Cricetulus griseus: one gene and its partner. The protein of the gene in region 2 interacts with the protein of the main gene of each other region in a biochemical or structural test. Links are inferred from orthologs where the notes say so. Each region holds a gene or a part of one and is shown on either strand. Other genes may lie near its edges.

Region 1 (5,648 bases), on a different chromosome or scaffold from region 2:
CTCCTGTTTAAGCACATCACACACTCTGTTGTGCTCCCGAAGCCAGATGGTAGCATACATCATCAGACCAGGCACCAGCCCAAAGACCTCCTGCCCCACAGCAAACCGTAGGTGCTCAGGGGTGTGAGGAGGGTACATCATCTCCGCCTCGGTGTCTTTGACTGTAGGAGGATACACCTCTCCACCAATGACCTAAGCCACAACAGTAAAAATAGCAGAGTCAAAACAAATACACACACACACACACAAGCAGCAGTTTCAAAATGTAAATGTAAATGGCAGGTGACAATTCCTAAAAATGCAAGGAAAATACCTGATATTTCAATTTTCCATCCTTGAAAAGGCGCAGTTTATGTTGCCTGTCTAGAGTTTCACCGTAAATGTGGTTTAAATCCACCTAGAAAATTATGGAGAAATTTCAATTTATTGATGCCTTACTATCATTTGTTATTAAATTTTGATGACTTAGCTTTCTTTAAAATTCAACAAGTGATTATTTTTATATGTATGAGTGCTTGCCTATATGTATGTATATACATCAGGTATATGCCAGGCGCCCAACCAGGTCAGAAGGAGGCATTAAATCCCCTAGAACTGATGGTTCTAGAGATAGATGGTTTAACTACCAAGTGGGTGTTGGGAACTTAAGCTGGCTCCTCAGCAAAAGCGCTAAGTGTTCTTAAACACTGAGTTATCAAGTCCAACAAATGACTTCTTCATAGTCACAAAATACTAAAATAATGTCTTCCAGCGCTACAAGCCTGTACTCCTCTTTTTTTATTAGTTTATTTTACATCCCTCCCTCCTCTCCTCCCATTCTCTTTTCCTACCCCCCCCCCCGTCTCCCCTCAACTCACTCCTGTAAGTCTCTTTATGTTGAATGGTATTAGTACTTTATATTAAATACAGTACATGCCTCATTATAACCATGATAGTTATTTTTATATTATTTTAAGCAGCATAGTCAGGGTGCAGCTATTTTTTGGAGGGTTGGGCCTCTACCTCAATGATAGAGCACAGTGCTTAACAATCACCAAGTCCTAAGGCCACTTCCCAGTGTTACCAATAATTAATTAATTAAGTTTTAGAAGATGTAGCATTTTTTGTAGATCAAAATTTTAAACTAAATATGTAAGGATAGCTTACATTAAAATATCTCTGTGTATGTCTGTTTATTTTTACTCAACTAGTGAATGAAAATGGAACACTCTATTATGGCTTTAGTAGACATGACATTTGTATAAAAAAATGGGTGTGATTTGTTTGGCATGGCAAGATGTCAGCTTTTCCTAAGGATTTTCGTTAATTCTGAGTTAAGCCTGTCTTACCCCATGGCCCAGTCCTCGGGTGAAGCCAGGTCCTCGTTTCTGATCTGTCTTGAAAAACTGATGAGTGAAGTGCTGGGCAAAGAATGCAAACATCATATTTGAGCCTTGGGGATCAGGGATGAACTTTCTCCTTAGAAGAACTTTTTCCAGAACTTCTTTTGAATCAGGAAGCTCCTTATTTCCTGAAACATAAAAACTCAAAAGTAAAAACCCATTCACATATTTGTTGAAGCAAACAGATGGCTGTCTAATTCATGAGAGCATTCGTCACTTCTAAACATAGTCTCACCAATGGAGTTGTTTTGCTTTGATGCACAGTCTTATGCTTATACCCCATGCTGACTCAAACTCCCTCTCTATGCCAGGTTGGCCTGGAGCTTACTGATGAACCTTTGCCTGAAGTCCATCTAATGCTGAGATTACAGGCAATGAGTTACCTTGCCAAGAGTACAAGAATTTTGGGGGAACAACTTATTGAACAGTTTTACCTATTTTAACCAATGCCAATTCTATTTAGCACAACATAATAATGATAAGACATTATATCAAAGTGAAGATTTACTTTTATGGAATAGGCACTTTAAAAATCCTCTGTGGATAGCCATATAAGTTACAGTTTTAAATGAATGAAAAACTAAGGTGCCCTTTCTAAGTGCACACCCAACCATCACTGCAATTGTTACAGCTCTATTTCTTCCCACTCACCTTTCACACCCATGGGAGTCGGGCAGTCATCAGCCACAGGAGGAAGGGCTCTGGTATAGTAGGAGAGATTGGAGAAGGCTTCCCAGCTTTTATAACCATAGTGCACATTGTAAGTTGGTGGACTGTCAATCAAATGTGATCTGGCTGGAATTTTAAAGAAAAAAATTTATTGTCCCTGATATGAAAAGAACAAGTGAATGTTATTTATCATTGTACGACATAGAAGGCACAGAGATGGGCTTTAATTCAGACAAAGATACCCTGCTTTAAAAGGCAACTGAAAATGTGTCTTCAATAAGCTCAAGCCTTACACAGGACCTTATGCTCCAGTAGTCTTTGAGTTTTCAGGTACCACCTACTCCCTGTTCCTGTATCCCAATGACTGAAGCAGCTGGGCATTCAACCATTTGCTTTAAAGGGTGCTGCATGTTCAGAACAATTCTGGGAGCCATAGGTACTCAACAAACAAGACAAGCATATTTCCTCCACAGGAATGAAGGTTGGGTTCATTTCCTGGCTACAGGATCACTTGTCAGTGTTGTGGGCATTTGGAAGGGGAGTATGGAGGGTTGAAAAGGTATATATCAAGCCATTTTGAAAAGGTTGGGAATATTTCTTTGTGTTGGGTTTCTAGTGCATATTTTTGCCAGAGAATGCTAGAAGCAAGGGAGGTTTGTACTTACATGTCAACACATATCTCATGATTGAACTTCGAAGGAAGGGAATGTTATTGACAATGTTCCAGACTCCCTTGAAGTGTGTCAGGATGTAGTGTACTGTGTTTGGGGTGGGCTTCAGCAGCAACTTAATCCTCGTCAGAAACTCAGCTGGAGAGAGAAAGAGCAGGAGGGAGAAATTAGTAGACACTTCCCACATGGCACTAATGTACAAAATGATGGTAACTGCATGTGGCCCCATTCCAAAGGAGGAAACCCCAGGAGAAACTTACGTATAGTGCAGTTTTCCCCGTAGAATCCTGTCCGGGTACAATCACATTTATACTGGTCAAATCCTATGCTCATACATTCACCTCGGTTTTGACAGGGGTTGGAACAGCAAGGATTTGCTACATTAAGAAAAAAAACATAAGAATAAAAATAAGACAGCCTGTAAGTCACTCTTGGTCATCCTCATCTTAACTTAAAGATTTAATTGTGTTACTATAGGTCAAGTTTACAATGGTAAGTTAGAAATACACAGGTAGTCGGGAGGGGGAGTTGGGGGGAGAGACTATTTTAATTAAGTCTGTCTTATCAAATGGCTGTAATATAGACTTAGCAGTTTCTTTTTTCTAAGCAAGAGAAGCAGAGGACCTAACATCATAGCTCACATTATTAACATTTTCACAATAACTTCTTAAATGTTCAGATTAGAACGGTTAAGTAGCACTTTCGAAATTAAAATGGATCGATCTAGTACATTAGTCAAAATTTAGTGTGAAGAAAACCAAAGTCAAACAGTTTACTTTTAACGTTTTGAATATCTTTTTAAAAATGTATTCTGGATTTTCTTGGGGGCAGAAAAGCACTGGCGGGTATTTAGAGTAGTCATTTCTAATCAGTCGCCCCACACCTGCAATTCACATGTATAGATCATATCTTACCATGAAGACAACCCGAAAACTATTGGCTATTGGCTTTTTAAAGCAAATGAGAGTAGCTCTCTGCTCCCCTAAGTAATTGGCCCATAACCTGAGAGCCAGTGACAAAAGCAAGCCATCCTTGCGTTCCTCCTGACCCAAGTGGTCCAGGCTGTTTGCCACTGCGCAGTCCCCGCACTAGAAAAAGGAGGTCTGCGCTGGAAGTCCTTCAGCACCTTTGGGTGCGGGGCCACTTACCTGCATGGGTGAGCGCCAGAGCGGCACAGAGCAGCACAGCTCGGAAGAGCATCTCGGAGGTGGCGGCGGCGGTGGTGGCGGAGGTGGTTGAGCTGGCGGGACGCAGCGCTGAGTTCCTTCGTGGGCAGTCTTCTGACACTCCTGGAGCTCTCCGCTCGCAGTTTGACAACTGGCTGCTAACGGGGAGAACCTTGCTTTTATGCCTGAAAAAGTGGCCCCCCTCCCCCACGTGACGCTGCGGTGACTGGTTCTTTCCGCCCAGTCTTTCCCCTACCCCCAATAGCCTTTCCCCACCCCCTCCGCTTCGGAGAGTTGCGCAAGGCGGGTGGGGGCAGGGCTCTTACCCACGCAAACGGAGACGAGGGAAGCCGGGAAGCTGCCCTCGGCTGCCCCAGGTGGTGCCAAGAGAACTGCGCCGCCCTCCCGCATCCCTCCTGGCGCCCCGAGCGGTTCCTGTGCCCGCGCCCACGCTCACTCTCTTTGGGGTCCCCGGCTTCCTCCCTGTCCCGCATCCAGTGCTCCTGGCGGGGACCAAGGAGCGCTGGGATGTCACGTTCCTCTCCCAGATCCGAAGTGGGAACGCAGGGAATCCCCGCGCCGCCCCCCGCTGGGGCGGTCTGACGTGCGTGCTGCCCAGAGCGCACACACAGCCACCGTTTTTTTTTTTTTTATTTATTTATTTAATTTATTCTATTTTTGATGAAGTGAGGGGTCTGCTGTCAGGGTCACACCGTACTGGTGGGGGTAGGGTGAAGTCTGTCACAGAACAGCACCCAGGCTCCTAGGTCGTAGCCCGCCCATAGCACCGGTGTTTCCAAGGGACAGAGTCTGAGCTTCACTTCATAGGAATGCTAAGTGCCCACGGCATTGCTATAAGGTATTTTTTCCTCTCCCTGCTGCTGTGCTTTTATTATTTCGATCAACAACTCTTTTTACAGGATATATCACTAAAAAGGAATTCTTTCTTTCTTCTTCTTTTTTTTAAACATGTACTTTTTTGACTTTTTCTGTCCACATTTTTTTTTTTTTCCAAGAAGGTGTGTTATGGCCATGGGTCAAAAGATAATACCTATGTTTCTATAACTGGCCTTATTCTGGCTAACCTTCAAACCCCAATTCATTCTGAAACATTGTTAAGAAATTAATTGCATAGAAAGGTGATTTTTGACAGTTTTGAATGTCATTCTGCTGTTTGGTGGTGGCCAGGAAAGGATATATGAGGATGGAATAGTGAAAAACAAGCAAAAATAAGGAAGTTAGGAAACTAAAGAAATCAATTAAAATTTTGTTGTTCTTAGCATGGATGGAGTCTGAAATTAAACTATTTCCTCAGGAAAATGGTTTGAGGCAGACTGGGCAACACAAGACCTAGGCTCAAACAAACCAAACAAAAATTTATAGAGAGAAAGGAAAAGCAATGAGGGAAAAACCCACGAAAACAACAATTAGAAAACTATACCAAATATCTCAATCTGAGGAAGTCTTGGAGAAATTAAAAATACTCATGGAATTTTTTTCAACTATTTGCTTCATGTGTGTGCTAATTTGATTCTACATGAGACATAGTGACTAAAATTCCATCTCATCCAGCCCTTTGTTCTAGTCATGTTTAATCACTCCATTTCTGGCACTCCCAACCTTTTACACCGATTCCTGTGTGAAATTTCAACTAAATGCACAGATCATTTTCATTTTAGGTAGTTCCTTTAAGTAGTTCTTGGTTTCTGTTTTCTTTTGAGTGGATTGCATGTGCTAAAGCTAAGTTTATTAGAACTACC
Region 2 (5,888 bases):
GAGGAAGAATTGTGCCTCTGAGTTTTAACCACTTCGGCAGAAGAAATTTAAGAAAATATTTAAATCACAGTATTTTGGGGTAAATGTATATATGCAGAAAAATCACTACGTGGGATGGCAAAGCTCTACAAGAAAATGATTTTTATTGGCAATCAATTCTATACTTAAACTGATACTCTTGTCACCAGTGGACTGGGTAATTATGCTGTGTGTTACTGAAGCTCAAGTGCAGAGCACACAGCCTTTGGAGGCTTGCCACGCCTCCATACTTGATGTGTAGGCCTGAAAGGATGTGGACAATGAACCGTGCTGTTCTTCATACTTTAAATTTGGGCCTCGTTTCTTCTCTACATAGAGGGTTTGTTTAGTTGTGTTTTTCATCTTGATATGAAGGTATTTGTGAAGAGCCGGGGACTCTCTTGCCAGACACTGTCCAGCAGAGAGTTCTAGGATGGTGGAAATTTTCTAGGTACTAGTGCAGGAGAGGGGAGGAGCAGACTGTGCAGGGGCAGCCTGGGTCTCTCTTCGCAGAGGGAGTGTTTTCTGAAGACATCCTCCTAGGCGGGGCTTCTGCCTAAATCCTGTCACATTCTTTTCTCAAGGTGGGTTTTTCTTGTCTGCTGGATTTGCTCCTGGTTCTGTGAGCAAGTAGGTAGGCACTAATGTAACTCCTCTAATTTCTCTAGTTTGAGGTTTCCCCACACTTGCCCTTGAAATGGTATTTTGTAAACTGCTATTTCCTCCGAGCCTGCCATGCCTTTTTTTCCATCTGTGTTGAAGTCTTTTTCCCAGTGGGGCCTGCTTTCTCCACTTAGTCATGCTGTGTGGAGGCCCACATCCACACTGCTGGCCTCTCTGACTCATCCCAGGAGGCCGGTCTGCTCCAGGGAATCCTGCTCCGAGAACAGGGCAACAAACAGGGAGCTGATCTGAGATCCTGGAATCTGCTTTTATCCTTTGAGTCCCCCTCCTTGACCAAAGCAGGCAGCACAAGAAGGTTGAGAAGCAAAATGTCTTTTCCCCTTTAGGGAAGTGTGGCTAACAAACAGATTTTAGCAAGCTTAACTTCCAGTTTATGGGATGCCTTCATCTCTAGTTTTAAGTATTCCACAATCTGGCCAGGAGAAAGCAGTCAATTTTCCTTTTCTCTCTACCAGCAAAACAAGAGAGTGAATTTTCACAGGTACACTTTCCCTCCAGTTGTAGATTAAACCATTTCCCTTTCTAAAATATATTATTCATAAAGGTGAAACTGCACTGGAGCTCCTCCCATCCATAGATAGGAGTCTGTGGGTGGAAACTCCATGAGCTCCTCAGTGGTGCCTGCATTAGCGGCTGGGCAGGACAGGGGCTTCCTTCCCACTGGAACCCCGAGGCCAGGATTTTCCTTGGCCCTCCAGGCCACTCAGAGGAAATCCTCTGCCAAGGACAGCTCAAGTCCAGTATTTCTCAACCCACACGGACTCAGACAATAAATTCCTTGAGCTAGAATTGCTAAAAGGGTCAAAGTTGAATAACAAAATGATAATGAAAATCAGACCACTGTGTCAAGTCTACATTCGGCCAACAACCCAGGAAAGTAATGTATTTTAAACCCCAGCAAGTATATCCTCAAAGTGTAAAATGGAACGCCAACCTGAATGTTCTGCTAGCCCAGGGCAGGCTGACCTTGGCTGTCACCACAGATGCATCTTTCCACATCTAACTAGAGGGATCCAGAAGTTAAGAGGTGGAAATTATTTTCAGTTTGGTAAATTGGCTTAGCCTTGTACATGTGCTGTGTTTTTATAGTTAAAACCCTATTCATATATATGTATATTATATATATGCAATTGCATACAAAATATATACATATAAGATAGTTTTAAGCATTTCCACTCATTTATTATTTTTAATCTAATCACTTTAGATTGCTTTAGCTGAAGGAATATGCTTATACTGTATTCTGACCTTCACCGTGGTGCACACTATTATTTACCTGTCACTGGACTATTAACCTGGCAATGGACCACAGTCATCTTCTTTTCCCAAGTAATGTGGGGGCCCACCTGTGGCTGAGGTTCTGTGAACTCCCACAAGGCTCACTTTAGCTAAATTTCTGTTCAACTAGCTAGTAGGAGGAGGCAAGGCAGATGAGACCTTTCTGACAAGGGACCAGGGGTTCACATACAGCCAAGCCTAGGAAACAGTGCCAGTGTGACAAAGCTATGAAAGGACGCCCAATTACTTGAGAGAGAAGGGTTGTGGGACCCAGACAGCCACCATGGCTTACCTTGACCACGTCATCGTTGAGATGCTTGGGGTCCCGGTTGACCAGGTCAATCTCCTTGGTGTGCGCGTCGTACACTTGCTTCTCATTCACCTCGTCTGCCATGGCCTTGTTGTTGGGCTTGTAGATGTTGCCCTGTTCCCGGATGGGAACGGTGTAGAGATGTCCCTGTGAAGGCAGCCGGCCAAGCCAGGGGAGGATGGCAAAGGCAGTGGGAAAAAAGTTCAGAAAGAAAAACAAGCGTCAGAAGTCAGCCTGTTGTCGGGGGAGCCTGGAGCTCCAAGTCTCGGCTAACTTCAACCCTGAAGGCTTTGCGCACAGAAAACTCCAGTGCCGCAAGCTTTTTAAGAGGACGGAGGGAAGGACACCACACCCCTCGGTACCAGGCAGGGAGCGCCTGCCTCCCTCGCCGGCCGCCAGGGGTCAGGGCGAAGCCCCATGCTCGCCCTCCTGCTCCCTGCAGCTCCTGGCAGCGACTCCCCAGCCCAGGGGGTTCGCGTTCCTCCTGCTCTGTACCCCTTCTCTCCTCCAGGCCACCCGCGTCCCCAGAGCCTCACCTGCTCCACTGACCCGTCCTGACCCTGTTAATCCTGTTCCCGATCCCTTCCACCGTTATCTTTAAGATCCCACTGGACCATACAGACAGGGGCTGGTCCCATCTTCTCTGTCTCTCCCTGCGTCTTCCTCCGCACCTGCCGCGTCCCCTACCCTTTAGCTCCTTTTGCTTCACGGCTTTCCCTAGGCCGTGGGGGTGGATGAGGTGCGTGGATAGCTATCATACTTTCATCTCTGAGCCGAGGCATATGCCCGACCCCTCAAAATGTTCTGGAAGACATCTCACCTGAAGGACTCCCTGACCCACCCTTACTTAGATCACCCCCAGGCTGTCTGCCCGAGGCTGAACGGTAGTCACCTTTGGGAACCGAGGTCTCCACCTTTATGCTATCTGAGTGCCAAGAAGTAGTTGCCAATGGTGGTGGTACTTGTTGAGGAAGGAGGGTCCCCCACCTCGGAACCCCCCATCCCGGCCGCCGCCCAGGGGCAGAAATTATAGAAGTGCTCTAGAACTTTGCTCAAAGTGCAACACGCGCGCGCCACCGCCCAGGCCAGCCACTTTAGGCTCCTGATGGGGACTGTCCTTAGAACTGTGGCCAAATGACGCCACCCCAACACACACACACACACACACACACACACACACACACACACACACACTGCACCAGCTCTCAGCCTCCCAGTAAGTAGGGGCTTGTCCGGGGTGGGGGGGGTCTTAACGGTGCCATCTGAAAAACTTTTCTAAGTCCGGCCGACTACCAACGCGGCACCCCGACCCTCCTTTGCCCGGTGGGCTCCATTGGTCGCCTCTCCAAAAGGAAGCCTTAAAACACCCCTGGCTTTTCTTCAGCTCCCCACCCAGGTCCATTCCTCAGCGGTGCCAGCACGAGGGGAGTGCTGTGAAGGTGGAGAGAGGGCTGGGGCCAGGAAAGCAGCCCGAGCATTTGGAGTGGGAGATAGCAAAAGCAGGCACTTTAGAGCCGGCGCGCCCTCACCCAAGCCTACCTCGGAGTCTACGTATTTGCCCCCAGACATGCTGGCGCGTGGCTGGCTGCAGGCTCTGAGGAGGTTTCCCTGGGCTGTGATTTAAGAGAACTGAGGAAGGAAGATCTTGTATTGTATAGGGGGGAAAAGGCGCTGGCGCGGGGGCGGGGGGGCGGTGGCTGGGAGGGAGCCTCTTGGCTGTCCGCCAGTGGTTTGTTCTTCTCTCAGTTGGCTGGGACGTGCTCTGCGCCGGGTCTAGGCACATCCCCAAGGTTCTGGCAACAGAGGGCGGGGAGCGCCCGCGGGGAGCTGAGAGCCTGTGAGAAAGCCTTCATCAGCGCTAGGCTGTTTGGGCAGATATTTTAGACCCGGGGCAACGTTTTCCCAGCTATAAACCAACAGAGAGGCATCCCTGGGAGAGCGAATGTTTTCCCAGTGCATCATCTCAGCAGGGGTGGAGGGAGCATAAGAGTCTGCAAAGATGCCCAGTATGGGCATCCGGCGCGGCAGGAGGAATTCTGCCCTGTCCTAAGCTGCTTCCCAACTTCGCCCACATTCCATTATCTCCCAGGACTGGGCTGTCTCTGACTGGGAACCCGAAGGAGCACTTTACATATAAACACAAGGAAGGAATCTGTGTGGGTGCCGGTAAAGTCATTATCAATCTCTACAAAAAAGAAAATGAAATTTCTATCAACAGGTTGTGCCGTAATCATAAGTACTTTGAACATTTTCAACTGTAGAAAATTTTAGTTAGAGGTTCAGGTTCGTTACCAGAGTGGGTTTTTCTTGCTGGCTTGAGATCAAATCCGGGCATTGGGCATTCTGCCTGGAGGTAAACACTCTACTACTAAACTACATCCTCAGTTCTAAAGGACGCCTGCCCAGAAAGATATGCTTAACTGTGAGAGGAGATGGGTTTTGACAAAATGACTAGACTTTTTTTTAAGTTAACAACTAATAGATCAGTTTCAAAATCTGCCAACCTCCTGTATTTTATTGTAAAGAAAAATCAAACAGACGATAGTTGCTTCTTGCTAAAGAATTGAGTAACTAACACAAGGCAGCAGGTATGAAATTCACACGCCATAAACTGAGAAGGATGTTTTTTACCTAAGCATCCATACACAAACCCTTGCATAGCACACTGGAAAGGGCAGAAGATAAATTTAAAAAATGGCTACCAGGAGGCAGGAACATGGGATCGGGGGAAGATGAAGAGGAAACACGTGTCTGAGGATAGAGAATGACACCCCAAAACACCTGATCATCTGGCTGGAAAGAAGACATGGAAAGAGCAATGACATCAGCAGATTGGGCCCTTGCTGATGGGGACAAAAGGCAATCCAGTTTTTGAATTAACTATTTTGACTAGCATGTGATGACCATATGCTAATGATGTGATATTTCAATGCTTGCATGTATTATACTGATCAAATAAGGGTGATTAGTCATACGTTGTAAAAATAAAAGGATCAATTTTAACTAGGGACAGCAAGTGTGATAAACATCACTTATGCTAGCTATTATTCACCATGAGATTAAAGATCTTCCAAAAGGCAAATTTCCTTGGTTTTATGTCTGCTAAATTACCTTTTCTAAAGTCTTTCATCAACCTGTGTGCCAACGCGCATGATAGACCACCAGAAAAAGGATGCTCTTTGATTCCAAGTATCCTGCATTGGCCACTTGAGATGATCTCTTGGAGTGCGCTTTCTCTACTAACTACATTTCCTTTCATCGATCGATATCTGCTGCAAGGCAATTCTGGGTCTGTTCTAGGGGAAATGTGGTAACTGGTTCCCACCTAGTATTACTCAGTTTTCAATTGCTGATGAGTAATTCTGACTGTGAAGAAGTCAACAGGAATGGGGAGAGCTTGTCTTGCATTCCAGGCAGGAAGGGAAACCTCAGGAGAGGTCCTCCAGTGAATGCCTAAGTCATCCTCAGCAGAGGGAAAGAGGGAAAGCCACCTCACGGGCAAACCCGTAAGCAACAACGATGCTTGGCATCATAACGACCAGTGAAGCGTTGTCAATGCCAAGATGAATTCCTAATGAATGGAAAAACCACAAACTGT

Evidence for each region.
Region 1: the proteins of Cav1 (region 2) and Ptgs2 form a complex in vitro, tested with the Homo sapiens proteins (2 studies listed by BioGRID). The link is inferred for Cricetulus griseus from reciprocal best matches to the Homo sapiens genes CAV1 and PTGS2.

Annotation. Positions count from the first base shown.
Region 1 is NC_048598.1:41,413,298-41,418,945, forward strand, and holds the start of Ptgs2 (prostaglandin G/H synthase 2), read right to left. Parts: upstream 3,923-5,648; coding exon 3,871-3,922; intron 3,100-3,870; coding exon 2,983-3,099; intron 2,861-2,982; coding exon 2,717-2,860; intron 2,178-2,716; coding exon 2,034-2,177; intron 1,511-2,033; coding exon 1,329-1,510; intron 398-1,328; coding exon 314-397; intron 193-313; coding exon 1-192. UniProt on the Homo sapiens protein: Dual cyclooxygenase and peroxidase in the biosynthesis pathway of prostanoids, a class of C20 oxylipins mainly derived from arachidonate ((5Z,8Z,11Z,14Z)-eicosatetraenoate, AA, C20:4(n-6)), with a particular role in the inflammatory response.
Region 2 is NW_023276806.1:209,232,608-209,238,495, forward strand, and holds the start of Cav1 (caveolin-1), read right to left. Parts: upstream 3,969-5,888; 5' UTR 3,860-3,968; coding exon 3,830-3,859; intron 3,314-3,829; exon of another isoform or gene 3,183-3,313; intron 2,438-3,182; coding exon 2,273-2,437; intron 1-2,272. UniProt on the Homo sapiens protein: May act as a scaffolding protein within caveolar membranes. Forms a stable heterooligomeric complex with CAV2 that targets to lipid rafts and drives caveolae formation. Mediates the recruitment of CAVIN proteins (CAVIN1/2/3/4) to the caveolae.